Arabidopsis thaliana: one gene and its partner. The protein of the gene in region 1 interacts with the protein of each later gene in a pairwise test. Each region holds a gene or a part of one and is shown on either strand. Other genes may lie near its edges. The genes, in order: AT3G61930 and AT1G11050.

Region 1 (8,478 bases):
CATCGAAATTATTTGCTCTTTTTGTCCGGTGAAATTGTTTATGGCAATTTCGGAATAGTGCGTGAGAGAGAGCGGTGGGACCATGCACGTAGCTATTGGGTAAAAATATGGTCCACGCGGGATCCACATATCAACTATAATGTAGGAAGCAAGCCCACATCGCTCCGATGACCCTCGACCTTAAAAATCTCTATGGACAAGACATTCCTCATTTTATTTTTATTTTATATAGAAACGAATAGTGTTAACAAAAAAAGTGAATGAAGGGTGATGGCAACAAAAAATGTATGTGATGTGATGAAGAAAGACTTTATACATTATTGTGTTAAATACGACTTTAAAGCTCGTAGCTTGTTCTTGTTGAAGGTGATGCGAAGATAATGATATACTACATGATAATCCACAACCTCCTTAGAAGATGGAGAGAAAGAAAGAGATTAAGATCTGATTCAAGAAGCGTTTATCAAATATATGTGAAGTTAACATTGCAACGAATGTCTAAGATTCGAATATTGTGCATGTGGTTCACTCGAACTAATCATAAAGTTAACCTATCTGGTATTCAGGAAACGACGGTGGATTCGATTCATCCAAATTAAAATTTTAAATTATTGTATTAATTTAAACTTGAATGACGGCATGAATCTAGATGAACAGTTGTTTACAACTGTAAGCGAGGAGGTATCTACGTATGTTGTAGATTTTGTGGGGGCCTATTTACAAAAGGTTATTTTCTGAATTTCCTTTTTCTTACACATGGTTTTGAGATTATAATAGATTAATACGCAAGGGCCGTTCAAATTTGCCATGTGCTATAGGATAACATTGTTAATAAAAAATTAAATCATGAGATTAAAATTTTGAGTTAATGAATATTCTGAAATGTCTTTTTCATTTTTCTAACATGGTTCTGAGTTTATAGCAGAGTAATATATAATCTGATTAAAACGAACGTTGTTGCGGCACGGAGCTATGATAAATTGATGATAATTAGTGACAAAAAACTAAAATGATATAATTGAAGTATTACAAATCGTAATTTTTCTAGAAGATGAAGGAAGTTTGCATGGGAAGCAATCTTAATTTGAGGTGTTTCAAAATTTATTAAACCCTTAATGGTGAGACGTCATATAACTATATATATTAGCACTCGTGCTTGTCGGACTTATAACTTTAGCCTAATCTTAAACTGTTTCTGGCCAGCTTTGTGTCATTGGGCCTGAAATAAAAGAGTTTCTCCCTTTTGTTTTGCTCTTCTAGACTTTTGGCATTGAATAGGGAAGATTAAATAATCTCTAACTACGAGTCTACGACTTCATAAATTAATTGTTTCATGAGAGATAACAATGATATTTCAAATATATCTACGTTGATAAACTTATATAATCGTTCCAAGTCTTCAATGAATACGGAAATCAACATACTAATTTAAATGCTTAAATCGTGAAACAGATTAAAACATAAACGTAGTTTATTCATAATTCGAAATTTTACCACAATTTCCCTTTAAAGCTACTCGTAACGCTTAGCTGGTCTGAATTCGCTCTCGAATGAACTCCTCCGCCGCAGCCGTAACCGCCACACTTCGCCACCGTCCTCACACTTTCCACCAACGCTTCCGTTTCCACATCCTCCGCAAGAATTTCCGCCAACTGCTCCGGACTTATCACAAGCCTCACCTTCCACACTCCACAACCACCGCCACTCAAAGCCGCCATTATCGGCGTCTTCCCGAAAGACATTCTGTACGGCGTTGATAGTTGGTCGGAGGAATCCAGTTGAGCGGTCGCGGCTGCGGAAGAAGAAAGAGGAAGGAGGTAGTAGATGTTACCGGGAAAGAGTTCTTCGCCGTGGAGAAGCGGTGGAGATGAGTGGCGGAGGCTTAAAGAGTCGTGGATGACATGGCCGGGAAATTCGTTGGTGATGAATTCGGCGAAGATGGGAGGATGAAGCTCCATCACGCCACCGTTTGGAGTCACCACTTTTATCAACGAATCATCTTTATCGTATAATTTTCTTGAACCACCATTGCCTTTGAATACGCAGTTACCCATTTTTGCTACATAAGTTAGAAATAATAACTGATTATTTTGTGTATATGTAATGTATGGAATCCAAAGAAAACCCCAAGACGGAGAAGGGTTTAAGACAAACGTTTTCTTTGAGCAGATGAAGTATATATCTTTACGACGTAAAGAAAAAATGAAAATTGCGAATGGTCCACCACTTTTCTTGTAAACAAAAGGACCGAAGATATTGTGCTTGCGATATTATCATCATTACTATTATTTTAGTCTTTGAAAGATAAATGATTATTATTTTTGGTTATTTGAGAATTGAGAGTAATTGGCAATGGTCTGTTTGTAGAACAATTGACAACAAGTAGAAAACATTTGAAGGTAAAATAAAAAATGAACTAATTTCTGTAGAATAATTGGCAGATTAATAAATAAAATAAAACCTTATCTAAACAAATTACAAAAAGTAAGATAAATGGTTTTCCTTAACCTATTTTCCATTTAGAAAGGTAAGTGATAGGGGTAATAATGTTCACGTGAGGTCAAAAGGTGAAAAGGCCGACAGAGACAAAAAGACTTTAATCTTTGTAAAATTATTATGGATGATTAATGAATTTAACCATTTTACCAAATTGTTAGAAAACCTCCACGAAAACTAATTCTATAAATTTATAAATGGAACGTGTGAAACTATGGACCAAACAGAGTACATCTTATCAGATCAACAGAGTATATAATTGCATGTTGTTTTTACTCGAATTGATTAATATAATGTCACATAACTTGTGTGGATCCATGTCCTACAACAATATAACATTTTGTCTTTTTATATTATACGGAGTTCAAAAAAGAAAGATTCTGGAATACGAAGGAAAAAAAACAGTAGTACCTTTCGGTGCACTCAATTACGTACACCAACAATTTCTTGGCGGGTCATTATTAATTTCAAGGGTCCTAATGGGCAATGGCCCATATTACATACTCTTCTTTTTTTCTTCCTATTATTTAAATTATATTAGAGAGCTTTGAGCCCACCATAGTGCAAAATATATTGTTTTTAAAAAGACCACTAGCTAATTGTCACAGTCTCTCACATACCACATGCTGAAATTGCAAATACTAACAAAGAATCAAGATTTGTAGAAATACAAATGATATTTTATTCATTTATTGTTTTTGTCAGTTTGATTTATTATTTTTGTAAAAAAAAACAAAAAACAAGTGAGATAGTGTATCGGTGTTTAGTTAGGGACTTAAATGTGATTTTGGTTCATATGTACTTTTTGCTAGCCTAAATTAAACTGAGTTTAGTATAAATTGTTCTGTACAATCTTGGTCTTGGTTTCTGTCTGATACTTTTTTAATTATTTATTTTAAGTTTCTTAATTATAAAGAAAAGAAGTTCATTTGAGCCTAACATCAACAAACTATATGGCCCAAACCATTGCCAACACTAATAATGGGCTAAACTTCACTGAATGGAACTACATAATGGGCCTCACGAAAAACTACATTATGAATTTCTTCTTTGTGGTCCTGATTATGACATTGCCTTCTTTTGTGAACAGAAAAAACTAATGACATTGCCTTCTTTGATGAGCTTTGCTAAACGGGGATCTTACATACAAAAATTTAATCTAATCGAAACCCAATCAGAAAAAACGGGGAGGTTCTCCGTTTCCGTTCGATCTAATATTTTATTTTGATATAAAACGAGAAATAGGTGATGATTAGTATTAAATTAGAGGTTTAAGGTGACAAAATCCCGGGGATAAAGACCGTACTTTAAGATAGTTGACGCGTGAAACACACCCTGTGTTATGTTATGGGTTTTAATTTACTTAGATTCCACGTCAGCAGATACGTGAACCAGAACAACACTTAATAATTCCGTCTAATAACCTCGCATGCCCCATGCATCGTAGTTCACATTCTTACTCAACTCCTTCCTCATTTATCATTCCAATAAACTTTACCCAAATGGTTTCAAACCGAGATCTAACCGTACTTGACTTTGAAAATCGAATGCTAACCATTTACATACCGAACCAAAACTAAATTTACTAGATTTTATCAAGAATAACATTTTTAATCAAATGGATTTCAAAATTATACTCAGTTATATATTGAATTATACATAGTTAATTATGTATAGTTACTTTCATTAGAAATAGTTATCTAAAACCGAAATAAATCAAAATTTTCAAACCGAATCGAACCAAACTAAATCATTTTTTTCTGTGGTTTCGTTTGGACATACTTTGACAGCAAAATCGAAATACCCAAACCGGAAAACCAAATTGCACACGCCTATATAAAATGCCTTCGCTTATAGAAAATGCCTAACAATCTCTCATAGTCATATATAGAAACAAGTCATACACGTATCAATTAAATGCAAGCATTTGGAAAAACAAGAAAGATCAAGAAATGGGGAATTTTCTTAGGAGAAGCTGCGCTGTGCACCCGGCTTCCGGCGACGGAGGAAGAGGAAGACACGTGGACGAGCCGCCGCAACAACGTCCAAGTAGTGTGCGGATTAAAGTGAGGATGAGAAGAGATCAACTCGAAGAGCTTTTGTACTTGGCGCGTCGTGGTGATCAATCGGACGACGGTGGTAAGATTGGTTTCTTGATTCTTAAAGAATGTATGGAAGGTCGCTTACCAGCGAGTGTTCTTGGCTCCGGTGGCGATGTTCGATCTCAACGGCGTGGAAGTTACATGGTGTATCGGAGATTGGGTTCCATCACCGAGGAATAATTCATTAATATATATATATGTGTCTTTCAATACATATAGTTTTAAAGTTTAGATAGACGACACTTTAATAACGTTTTCTAGATCAACAATTATATGTAAGGCTAAAGAAACAAAAAAAAGGAGTTTCGTTATCAAAAAATTGAAAAGAAAAATATATAAAAGTAGTATGTTTGTGTCACGCATTTAATTAAAGATATAAGTGTAAATCTCAATACTTTTTATTCGTCAACAAATATAAGAGTTTTGATGGCGTTTTAGCATCGCATAATTGTGGACATCTCAAAAGGTAAACTTAAAGACAAACTTCAAGTCTAATTGACAACTTCAAATTATTCTAAGAGCCATAAAACTATCTGGTTCATCCAAGTCGTTTATCGACCCATAGAATCTCCGGAACGTAGATAAGTTTTTGCGCTTGGTTGCTCTCTTTGGGCCTCTTAAGATCTCCTTGGCACCATCGGAAGGCTTCAAAATGATCAAATTCTTTATTCTTGTACCAAATGATGTAAAACAGAATTAGGATAATTAATAATCTTTATATTTTATTTCTCTATTTTTAAAATAACTACTATGGTTATCCTAATTGAATTATGATAATATTTGACTATTGTGTGTTTGTACATAAATTTTTTACAGACCTGGATTCTCCATTCAGAGTTCGAATCGAGACGTTTCCATTTATTTATATTTTCTCGTTTGGAATTTTCCAAATTCATCATTACAGAAAACAAACGTTAACATTCCATCAATATGTAATGTTGTACTTTTTTTTGTTTTTGTATTTTTCAAAATTTCAATTAATTGAGTCCCGTTGAAAGTCAGAGACGTCTAAGATAGGCCGAATAATTTTCTTCGTAACCATAGCAGCCGAAGTAATTCTGTATATTATTTTATTTAGTCAGCCTAGCATTTATCATTAGCCCATTATATAACTTTCAAAATGGGCCTGTTATTCTGTACAGCCTAAAGATTCAATTGTTTCGTTGAAAAACAAACAATTTCGTGGACTATCGTCAATAAGATTATGCAAAAAAAAACAAAAAAATTATGAACTTTAATGGAAATTCAGACGATATGAAGAGAGAGTTTGGCTTTTGTTTCAAGATTCTTTCCACTCTCTGTGTGATATCAGAATTGGCCCAAATCGGAATCTGATGTCGCTTAGATTTCGTCATTGTTACATTGGGTCTTTACTTAAATATATTTTCTAATGCTTCTACACATGTTATACAATATGATTTGAGGTTTGACTCTCTGTTATGGTATGAGTATGTTGTCATATCATTTAATGTGAATTTTTGGTTTGCTCGCATCCTTGTGTAGTTGTGGGATGCATGTCTCTGTTTTTTCCACCTTTAAAAATCTCCTTCAAGTCTCAAACTCTAACACCTTACTCCTGAATTGAGTTTCTACTATCTTGTTGTAAGGTATCAAATCTATATACTGTATTCATAGGATTGCGTATAGAACCCATTGAATATTGATTCATGCTCTAAAGTTACAATCTTTTTTGCTGCAGATGGATTCAAGAAGAAGTAAAGTTTGTGGAGAAACAGCTTGTGGGTTTTCAACATCTTCAAGTGATGCTAAGAAACGAGCTGCTTCAATGCGAAAGCTCTGTTTCGTTGTGGTGTTATGTCTTTTGTTCATGAGCATAGAAGTTGTTTGTGGCATTAAGGCTAACAGTTTGGCTATATTAGCAGATGCAGCTCATTTGCTCACTGATGTTGGTGCTTTTGCTATCTCTATGCTCTCCTTGTGGGCTTCTTCTTGGGAAGCAAATCCGCGACAGAGTTATGGGTTCTTCAGGATAGAGATTTTAGGCACTCTTGTCTCAATCCAGCTCATTTGGTTACTCACTGGGATTTTGGTCTACGAAGCCGTAACTAGACTCGTTCAAGAGACCAATGATGATGTTGATGGTTTCTTTATGGTTCTTGTTGCTGCTTTTGGTTTAGTTGTAAACATCATAATGATTGTTGTGCTTGGACATGATCACGGACATGGGCATGATCATGGTCACAGTCATGATCATGGTCATAGTTATGGGGAAAGAGCTGAGCAGTTGTTGGAGAAATCCAAGGAAATAAGGAACATTAATGTGCAAGGGGCTTATCTTCATGTTCTTGGGGATTTAATTCAGAGCATTGGGGTAATGATTGGAGGGGGTATGATTTGGTATAACCCTAAATGGAAAGTAATTGACTTGATATGCACGTTATTCTTTTCAGTTATTGTTTTAGGGACAACCATTAAGATGCTTCGAAGCATACTTGAAGTTCTAATGGAGAGCACACCGAGAGAGATAGACGCGAGGCAGCTCGAAAAGGGATTGATGGAAATTGAGGAAGTTGTGGATGTTCATGAGCTGCACATATGGGCAATTACAGTTGGAAAAGCTCTGTTTTCTTGTCATGTCAAGGTTAGACCAGAAGCTGGTGATGAAATGGTGCTGAACAAAGTGATCGATTACATCTGGAGAGAGTATCGTATCAGTCACGTTACGATACAAATCGAGCGTTAAAACAACAAAAGGGTTCATTTCTCTGGTTTTCTGTCATTTTCATGATCAAAGTTAAATCTTTTTTCGCTTTCTCGTATGCTCTCATTACCTTGTTGTGACATATGCCATTGTCTTTCTTGTTTATGAATAAGTTGTCTTGTCTTGAAAAAGGTAATTAAAAGGACATAACTTTATTTGAGATTAGGGATTTGTGTTAAGTTACTACTAAAGAAAAATCAGAATCTTTAGGGTTTATCTTTGATAATAGACCTACCAAAAAGAGTGGGGCATGTTTGTCCTAAGAGCAAGTAACCATAGCTCGTGTGTGACAGTTAACAACCATATCCAGTACACAATTGATAAACAAAGATTCAACTTTCTTTGGAGTTTTGATGTGTTGATAAGGTTTCTAAGGTCTTCGTTAACCAATAACCATGCAAAGCACGAATGTTTTGTTTCTTTGCTCAAATTTTGTGAGACCGGATATGAAGTTACCCGTTTGGATTGAGCTTGTGGACATGTTGGGACATTTTTATAGGACAAACACTGTTTAATGCCGTAGCAGCCAAGGCATTTAGAGTCAACCTTTTTCTTTTAATTGTAATCAAGATATGTTTGATTGCAAAGTAATAAACAAAATCCCACACTTTAGAAACCTTACATCTATTAAAGGTTCGAATCATTAGAACATGATGGATGCATGCAAATGCAACATGGTATCTGTATAAAGTTTTAGCTTTTTGAGCCTTGAAGAAAAGGAATGGTGTGGTATGGGAATAGTGAAGAAAGGATGATTGAGACATCATGAGAAAGATGACACAAACCCAAAGGAAGAAGCTCTCTTACCCATGACATGTCTCTTTTTTACCTTCTTCTTCTGTGTAATTTAGAACTGTCCCCACAAAGTCTGTCTCCACTTCAAGACAAAACTGCTTCCACCAATAATATCTCTCTCTCATCTGCTCTGCTCAGCCTCACCAACTCTTACAGTACCCAAATACATCTATCTTATTACCTCTCTGTTTTTTACAGCTCCTCTGTTTCCACTCTACTCAATAGCTTTACTAAAGACTCACTGTTCTATATAAAGCTAACAGTTACAAGTCCATAAAAGCTCAGAATCAGAAGAGAGTACATGAGTTTCCTCTTCTGCCTCTTTGGTGATTCTTAGCATTTATTATTACTCACTCATCTTCT
Region 2 (10,093 bases), on another chromosome or scaffold:
TGTAACACTTCAGAACAAGACATGCTAACAATTGCGAACCTGAAAGCATCTTGATGACACTTATTGTGAGCTCTGTGAAAGACATTCGGGAATCATGAGAACCCAAACATTTCTTAAATCCGAGCAAATGATTCTGAAAAGCAAAATTAGCGTTACAGTTATATTATATCAGACACTGAGTTATATATACTGCAACTTGATAACACAGCTGATTAACGTCCGAATCTCCAGGATATTGTCATGAATCTAGAAACCAATATACATAAAAGATACCTGGTTGTCTGTGCTGAGGAATGTAGCATTCTCCATGATTTTCAGACACTTCAGAAGCAACATTAAACTCTGTTTATGCAGATTATCTTTCTTTTCCTGGACGGAAAGTGCGTCGTATTCCACCCAACGCTGCATATAGAATTTGTATTAGATTCTCTCAATGAATATAACATAATGCAATTGCAAACCGCCCGCAATTAAGACAATTAATGCACAAAGGAGAGTATACATGGGGCAGTAGAAGATTCTGGAAATAACCTATATAGTTTATCAATAGAAGTGCCTTCACATTGCTAATTTGTGTCAAAAGAGCTTATTCTAAGTATAAACAAAGTCATACACCACTGTAAAGAAAGTCAACAAGTAATCTCTCTTTCAATATACAAAGAAAGCACCTTCACTTAACCCACGTTTCAGTAAATTGGATTGCAAAAAGAATAGACCCTGACAATACCTAAACAATCACAAAAGTAGCAATCTAAGATGCTTTATACGAGTTATCAACCTCCTAGGCAATCATAGACTACCTTTCTATATTACGAAAGATATCAGTGCAGATGAAAAAAAAACATACAGCTTCACACCTCCATAACAGCGTGACAATCCATAACAACCTCAAGGACTGCATCAAGTCCTCCTAGTTCTCGCAGTTTCTCCTTGAAATTCCCTCCAGTCTTCTTTACAGAACCAGAAGTATCTGGATGGGGGTAAACAAAAGATCATAATATTATCACCTTAATTCTATGCTAAAATAAACCTAGAGAAGCAAAATAAATACTGGAGAGAACAGGAACTTTTCATCATCTATAACCTAATCTAACTGATTCTAAGATGATCTCCGAAATAGTTAGCTAGTCATTACTTCCGGGAGAAAAGGCAAAAAGTTCTAATACCATCAAAAGAAATTTTGGATACGCATGCTCTCTCCATGGCCAACAAAGCTACCCATTTTGTACTTAGCTCAGGCCTCGTTGTTTCAGTTATATAGCTATCATTCAGTCTCATTTCTTTGCAATTAACAAGAAGTTCCTGAACTCTTGAGAGGATATCACTGGAGCTCGGATCATCCATTTTCACTGGATCCCGTGCTGCATCAACATCCTTAAGTAATGATAAGAGCTTAAATCCTATATTGCGTGGCTTCCCTTCGGTGCTAGTGACAATCACAGGTTTCAACAACTTTATCAGAAACTTGATGCACTTGGGTGACTCCATAAAGTGCTCGTCTTGACCCTGGAGTCATGAAAATGAATTGGTAAAGTTATATACGGAAAATGTGAAATGGTGAATAAGAAACCAAAAAAACGTCAATGAATCAAAGATTAAACATCAAAAACATACATAACAGCATCTGCAAATCACTTACATCAGCAGTTAGCGCAAAGAAAAGGGTGGCTGCGGCAAGATTGCTTGGTATATCATCAAGGCTAAGAACCAAAATCGCATCAATTATGGATTGGGAAATCCTGAAACAATAAGCTCCCACAAAATTAGGTAACTTTTCCTGAGATTTCATGATACTTACGACTCAGCATCCATCTAGGACTTCTTATCGACTCAACCAACGAATCAATTAATGGGACAAACACAAAATCTCCAGTCCTTGGGAGAGAATCAGACATAGTCCTAAAACCTTACCTCGCATGCATCATGATACAAACCCTATTCAGTAATACACCATTCCAATCCACTACAAACCAGATTCTCTAAACTGTCATGCCCTAATCCTCTTCAGAAGTCCAAATCCATCACAAATCTGATTTACAAGAACCAAAAATACAGAGAAGAGAAAACGAAACCATAGAGTTTGTTGGCCCTAATCGTGCCCTAATCTAGAAGACCGGAAAACAATGAAAACCCACATGCCAATTTGGAAAATTTCTCATGAATTGAACAAAATCAAACCCCAAAGAGAAGGGGGAAATCGAAAAATCTAAGAAAAAAGAGTAAAGCTTCTTACCCTTGAGCCCTCAAGGAGCGACGCTGGTGTTGAGATGCACAAATCGACAATAGAGAGGACAAGCTAGCTCTTCTGATCCTGAGCTGGTGTCCTTTCCTCAACCCATCAAGCGCAAAGTTAACCTCATCCTCATGCTCCATCAGCTCACCAAACTCCTGAGCCTCAAGCAAAGTGGAAGTAAAAGCAGCAGCCTCAGCACCGTTCCTGACTCTTTTCGCCCTCCGTACAACACCTCCGTTCTGTGGATAATCCTCTCTGAAATTTGACCTGGAAGAAGAATGCCAGAGAGAGGAAGACTCTTGACTGGAGAAAGGAAGGAGAGAGTAATCAATGGGCTCGATGTCCGGCGACGAAGAGGAAGAGAGATACTCAGTCTGAGAAACAGAGTCGTTTAGAGAGTCCGATAGGGTCCTCGGAATCCCCGGCTTACGGCGGCCGTAGGTTCGTTCCATCATCGCCGAGACGAGTCGTTGAATTTGCAAATTTTTGGGGAAGAGTTTTAGGTGAGAAAATCGAAACAAGGGTATTTCGGGAAGAAAGACAAATATATAAAAGTGCTCGTAAGATCTGCGTAGCTGAAGAAGAGAGCAGCAAATGCGATTGGCCGTTAGTTTTACAATTATCATTAAATTTTGTTGTTACCACAGTAATAACTAATACTAAGTGAGTAACCAGAATGTTTTAAATTACTAACTAACTTTAGCAATTAAAAGTTAAAAAGAGCACACAAATTTTCACAGTCTGATTTTTGGGGTTTCAAGTTGTGTCTGAATTACAACTAAACATTTATTTGTTATTGATTTTTTTTTTTGAGTATTACCAATGCTGGAAAGTTTTAAATTTATGCTAGTTTGAGCATTTTATATTCAACTGATTCAGGAAATTGTGTAATGTACTGTATACTGTAAAATATAGAATTTACCAGATATAAAATTAATAGTAAAATATGTATCTGATTTTTTTCTGTTGAAAATGCTTTGACAAATCATTATGTATCAAACTATGTAATTTCTTGTTGACAAAAAAAAAAAATATGTAATTTCTTCTTATTTATATACATATAAATTTTGCAACGGACAAAAATAAACACAAATTTGAATGGTTGCAGAATTTTACATGGTGGCTGAGGCGAGAGGACCATTAGTGTCAAGATGGTGCAGGACTGTGAACCACTGCACCAAATGTGAGTGCCTTAATAACTTTTGCACTTGTACCGGAAGGCTTCCACCAGCTACCGCCCTCACCCCCGCATCTCAGCCTTCGCCTCTACTTTGATTTAGAATATAATCCTACAATGAACTATATGTTTTCCCTACTTATGATATACTACAACATTCTGAAATTGTTTTACATGATGTAATCAAAAGACGTGATCGTTGCTTTCAAATATTTACAAAATAAAATCTCACATGAGCCTAGTTTTTTCATCTGAGCATATCTCCGGAATGTATTTGTAGTCCGCTAAGCGCAGGCGATATTGTGAATCCGTTTCCGTCCATACGGTACGAAGGATGCGCGAGCGGGACTGGTCGGTCCGGAATAGGAGGAACCTCGATGTCTCCTTCAAGCATTTTCAATGCATCTAATATTGTTGGCCTTAAAGCAACCAATACATGGGCACACAATATCCCAACTTGCAAGAATCTCTCCATTATCCCTTTCGGATTCGAGAGCCCTGAGCCTTCCTCTCTCAACAAAGACTGCTCAAGAGCTTCCTCTGTTTTCCCTGCTTTTACCAATGACCAAGCCCAATCTGTGATCAGAAAAGTGTTTGGTGATCCAGAAGTAGACAGATCAAGAGCTTTCCTTCCACACATGATCTCCAATATAACAACCCCGAAGCTATACACATCGCTTTTCTCGGTTAATTGACCATAGAGGGCATACTCTGGAGCCAAGTAACCGTGTGTTCCCGCAACTCTGGTAGTGAGATGAGACTCTCCTTCTCTACTCTGTTTAGCTAAACCGAAATCCGCAACTCTCGCTCTCATATCGACATCTAACAATATGTTCGTACCTTTAATATCCCGGTGATAAATAGCGGGTTTCACACCGTAATGCAAATAAGCCAACCCTTTAGCCACATCCAAAATGATGCTCTTTCTCTGAGGCCAGCTCAATGGCATCTTCGTAGTCTCACCTCGAGGAAACAAGTGATCATCGAGATTTCCATTAGACATGTAATCATAAACAAGATATCTCTGACTCTCACTATCATCATCCACCATACTACAACCTCTAAGCGGAACAAGATTCCTATGTTTCAAATTGCTAATGATCTCAACCTCATTACGAAACTCTGCATCCCCTTGAAACTCAGACTCTATCACCTTCTTAACCGCGATAACCGATCCATCTGGTAAAACCCCTTTGTAAACAAAACCAAACCCGCCTCGACCGATGAAATTCTTCTGCGAGAAGTTATTCGTAGCTTTCTCTAGTTCCTCGATTTTGAACCAGATAGAGCCAGTGTTTGGTCTCCATTTCGGTCTAGACCCTTGATCCTCCCAACCAACCTCTCCTCCTTTAACAGCTTTACCAAACCGGAAATACAAACAAATCAAACCGGCAATAACCAGAGCCCCGAAAATAGCTCCGGTTATCCCTAAAGCAAGAGCCACCGTGTGTCTTTTCTTCTTTGAGTTCAATGGAGATCTCAAACTCAAAGAGAAGAGACAAGACAAAGCATCATCACTCTCAGGTCCTTTCTTGTTAACAATACCAGCAGCGTAAGTAACCACAAAATGGTAACAATAAACACCGTGAGAGCTATTACCGTCCAAAGTGATGAGCTGTTTTTGAACCCTAAACCCAGCCGCCACGCAAGCGTCGCATCGCGTTAGATCAGTGAGACCACTGCTACAGGCGGAGTCAAGCGCCGTAGATGGACCGAGACGAGATACCCAATCTTGAGTCGTTTGGATTCCAGCACAGGTTTCGTTATTGATGACGAACTGATTCGGATCGAAACAGAGAGAGGTGAGATTCGAAGATAGAGAGAGTGAACTAAGCTTCGTTTGGAGATTGTTGAGACAAGAGATTGAAGTAGCGAGATTTGGGAGACGGAAATTGGAAGTTTGTTTGAGACGATGAGCTAGAGGGATTCCGATTAGAGTTAAAAGAGATTGGCAACAACTGTTCTTGCTATCGGCTGATTTGTCGGACTTTTGACAATCTGTTGTGTTCCATGGGATTGTTAGGACATGAGAGAAATCTAAAGGACAAGTTTGTGATGGAGATTGAGCAACGCAGTTTGTGAGATACAGGAATGAAAGAAGAAGAAAGAGAATCGAGTTAGGCATGTTTATGTTGGATTATGGTGAAATCGAAGATATGGGTTTGGAGAATCTGAGGTTTTTTGGTGGTGGAAAGTGAGTGATTGATTTTGGCGGCCATGAAAGTTGAGGAAAAAAGTTGGATTCTTTTGGTCAAAGAGGCTGCTTTGATCTGTTTGACTTTGGAAGCAACATGGAAATGCAGCTTGTCCCCACCTGCAACTGCCAACACTAACGATGAATGAAACATATTCCATAGTGGCTACGTTTCACTTTCGTTTTTAATGTTAAATGTGGGAAAATTGAAAAAGCAAAATTAATAGATAGTACTAGGATTATAAAATTTTGACAAAATTAATGGGACAAAAATTCAGACGGTAAGACAAAAGAGAAAACTGAATAAAGGTCAACTAGAGATATCATTTTAAACAGTCGACTAAATTATCAAATTAGACTCTTTACGTGTAGAGTTGTTATTATTGCTTGCTGATGGGAATGGGGATCCACTATTGCGGATAAAAATAACTTATGCAACATACAAAACTACCAAAGATTGTGCTACAACCGAAACGGATCATTCGTTATTCTCATGTCAGTATGCTCATGCACTTTCGATAAACTATACAAGTCTACAAATGTACCGCTGGTAAATGTATCTTTTGAGTGTATCCATAATCTCATGATAAGTACAATACTTTGGTTCTGATTATTCTCTCTCAAACCGGGTCGATGCATGCTCATCCAATTCCTAGTAAAAAGTTATCAAAGGGGAATTAAATAAGAAAAGCCTATAAATTTTCTTAAGAAAATATTTTTATTTCGGAAAACAAAAAAACAGAAATTTCCTAATAAAAGCTCTCCCAAACAACTCGGCTCTTCGTCTGTCTGATAATCTAATTCATCCCTACACACGACAACGACAAGTTTCCTCATCTTTCTCTCTGTTTTCTCTTTCCGCTAATTTCTTGATCATCTTCTTCTTGTTCTGTATGCAATGGGGACTCCTCGTTCGCCGGCTACAGATTTCTTTGGAATTTCCAAGACAGCATGCAAAGCCTACAAGTCCCTCGTCACCAAATTGCACCCTCTTTCTTCTCATCGCAAATCCGAATCCCATTCCGATGCCGATTCCGTACGTTTAATTAACATCTTCTCTTATTGTGACGAACGCTATTTTCTGATCATCATTTCATTTACGTTTTCACATTTGAGCAATGATTTTTGCTATGGAATAACGTAGAAATAGATAAATTGTTCCCAACAATGATCAAACGGCGAAATATTCGATTTATATCATTATGGATTTCCGTTTCTTTCTTCTTTTTATCTCTTCGAGGATTGTTTGTGAAAACCTCTGTTTCGTAAAATAAAAAAATCATTTTTCAATCCAGAGATCGTGAGAACAGAGTAAAATAATATTTTTGTTTGTAAAAATTGATAGGCAATCCACCGGAGATATTTGGAGGAGAAATTTGCGGAGGAGGATGATCTCATTGCTGCTCGGAGAGGTCTCCGGCTACAGAGCATGGACGATAGTAGCGTCTTCAAACGTCGTTCTTCTCTGTTATCAAACTCAAGTAGCCGCCGTAGCCACACGCCGCAAGCTAGACCAACGTACCTCTCTTCCTCCGCTTCTTCCAACCGCCGTTCTGCTTTCTCAAGAAGCACAAGCCGTAGAGACGAAGGCAGCAGCCACAGCGGAGTGAGAAGCCACGGTTTGAAATCACGTCCCATCTCAAACAACACCAGTCCGATGACGTCACCTTTCACGAGTCCTAGAGGAAAAGATCAAACCTTAGGTGATTTATTCGGATCTGTAAAGAAACTTTCGTCTCCTACAAGCAATAGTCCGATAAACGGCGTCAAACAATCTTCTCCTTCGTCGATTTCGAAGAGTGCTAGCAAGAGAGATAAGGATGAAAGAGGCTCTACGAGCTCGGCGACATCGACCTCTCTGCCATATTCAAAGAGTAAGAGCACGAGGGATACGGCTGGATCAATTGCAAAGAGTATAAGCCGGAGAAGCACAACGCCGATAGTGTTTTCGCAGTCTACACCGCCGAAAAAACCACCAGCTGTGGAGAAAAAGCTTGAGTGTACGTTAGAAGAACTCTGCCATGGTGGAGTCAAGAACATCAAGATCAAAAGAGACATTATTACCGATGAAGGGTTTGTTTCTTGGCTCTCACGTTCTCTTATTTTACTCAATGAGTCATTCATTATGTTCTGTTTTTTTGTAACAGATTGATTATGCAACAAGAAGAAATGTTAAGAGTGAATATCCAACCGGGATGGAAGAAAGGGACGAAGATCACATTCGAAGGAGTAGGGAACGAAAAACCGGGCTATCTACCTGAAGATATTACATTTGTGGTTGAAGAAAAGAGACACCCTTTGTTCAAAAGACGTGGAGACGACTTAGAGATTGCGGTAGAGATTCCTCTTTTAAAGGCTTTAACAGGATGCAAACTCTCGGTGCCACTATTGAGCGGAGAGTCAATGTCGATAACCGTGGGAGATGTGATCTTCCACGGATTTGAGAAGGCGATAAAAGGTCAAGGTATGCCAAATGCTAAAGAAGAAGGTAAGCGAGGGGATTTGAGAATAACGTTTTTAGTGAATTTCCCGGAGAAGTTGAGTGAAGAACAACGATCAATGGCCTATGAGGTGTTGAAAGATTGTTCTTGGGCATAAAGGTTTATAATATGCATATGTGTTTCTTCATGCCTTTCACTTCCTTCATTGTATATATGTTTCCTACTAGTCGAGTGGGCTTGATGCGTTAAAGTTGTGATTCGTTGACATTAGGCTTATTTTTATATATTTTCCTTTATATATACATTTTGTTTTCTTAGATTGAGCTGTTTTTTCTATGATTCTTTCTTGCTGTGAATGATACAATTGTCTTCTTGTAGTTAACATTGATCAGTATATCGACAAAGATAACTATCTGAAAAAATTGACAATCAACTTAGCTTTAGTAATGCTTACGACTTTTACGAGTTCTTTGGAGTGAATCCAAAAGAAAACGATGATATTATATACTATAATCTGCACTAGCATACTAAATGACCGCATAGCGCAGTGGATTAGCGCGTCTGACTTCGGATCAGAAGGTCGTGGGTTCGACTCCCACTGTGGTCGTATTTTTGTTATATTTTTAGGTTTTCGGGGGTTTGTAGGAAATTTAAGCTGCAACGACGTACCTATGCTCTCCGTTATCATCTCACTGCTTTCAGAAACTGTAACTCAAAAAGGAACACTTTTACACTAATATCCCTTTTCTCTGGTGAGAGCTTTTTGTGTGATAACTGAAACATCAGTCGGTATATAGACTCTGTTTGTAGATTTGGGTCTCAATATCTTTAATAGTCACTGAAAAACCAGTAGCATTGCATCACCTCATACCATAATTATAATAAATATATATAAGACAAAATATCCATTAGGTACTTTTCATCGCATGATAAAGAAAAGAAAGACACTCTGTGAACATATACGTATGAACTCGTCTCTCTCATGTGCCCGAAACTCCTTACAACCTTTATTTGACAGTTAAAAAACACGGTCACAGAAGTTTCAGCATTTTCAGTCTTCCTTCGTGCTCTGCATCCAGCTTCGGGGGAGTGTAACTTCCGTGAAGATCCTCCACAATGTACTCCTTTGTGAGCTCTCGCTTGGTGAGAATATGGTAATGTCTCTGCCATATCCTTTGGATAGCCATAGTTGCAGCAAGAAACCCATACGCTAAACCAAGAATGGCAAAGATGACGACAAAAACAACAACAAGAGCGAAACAAGCTTCCATTGAAGCAGGGAAACAATCCAAGACACCCCATCCATAACAGCAGTTCTGGCATCCAGCCATCCTCGGGTCATTACCGTTGAGAGCAGAGCAATGTAGAATGATTCCAAGAAATCCAGTCAGCACAAAGAAGGATATAACCCCTAAGAATTCATGACACACCAAATGTTCAAACGCGTGTAAGGCTTCTAGATCCGTGGTATTTGAAAGGTATACTAGTTACGCAATAAAAGGGAGATGAAAGATTCAGTAAATACCAATGCAGTAATAAAACGGGATGGGATGTTTCGACAAAATACGATCCCAATCATCGTTGAAAGAGTTGCGAAACTCTCCGTCTTTGTCCATCATATATGCGAATCCGGCCATCACAGCGATAACCTAGAGTTTCAACAATCTTCTTATTATCAGACGTCAAAAAGATTCAGACAATCTCTATGAAAAACAAGCTTCAAAAATGGCAAGTCACAGTGAGCAAAATGAACAATTTGATAGTCATCAACTTCCATTGTCAATTTCAAGCACCCACCATGTGTACGCAGTAACCAGGTCAAGATTCGAATCTAGTTCACTTTGTGAGCCAGATTATGACATCATATAAAATTTATCCTCAGAATCTCTTAATAAATGCTTTATAATCCTCACGAAAACTATGAAGAGAAGCTGAGAGAGAGAGATACTCACAGTCTGCACAGCTAAGAAAACCAAAAGCACATCTCTTGCGACAAAGAGTCTGAATTTAGCTTTTCTACGCCACGAATTGTTATCCTCAAAGGGTTC

What was found.
Region 2: the proteins of AT3G61930 (region 1) and AT1G11050 interact in a protein complementation assay, tested with the Arabidopsis thaliana proteins (one large-scale study listed by BioGRID).

Annotation. Positions count from the first base shown.
Region 1 is NC_003074.8:22,931,148-22,939,625, forward strand, and holds AT3G61930 (uncharacterized protein), read left to right. Parts: upstream 1-4,362; 5' UTR 4,363-4,448; coding exon 4,449-4,778; 3' UTR 4,779-5,106; downstream 5,107-8,478. Other genes in the region: AT3G61920 (UvrABC system protein C), read right to left, coding at 1,491-2,054; MTPA1 (Cation efflux family protein), read left to right, coding at 6,298-7,302.
Region 2 is NC_003070.9:3,677,334-3,687,426, reverse strand, and holds AT1G11050 (Protein kinase superfamily protein), read right to left. Parts: upstream 5,540-10,093; 5' UTR 5,536-5,539; coding exon 3,658-5,535; 3' UTR 3,258-3,657; downstream 1-3,257. Other genes in the region: AT1G11060 (WAPL (Wings apart-like protein regulation of heterochromatin) protein), read right to left, coding at 40-133, 274-402, 858-970, 1,167-1,506, 1,640-1,739, 2,234-2,859; AT1G11040 (HSP40/DnaJ peptide-binding protein), read left to right, coding at 6,503-6,640, 6,950-7,677, 7,752-8,202; AT1G11020 (RING/FYVE/PHD zinc finger superfamily protein), read right to left, coding at 9,077-9,456, 9,571-9,694, 9,998-10,093.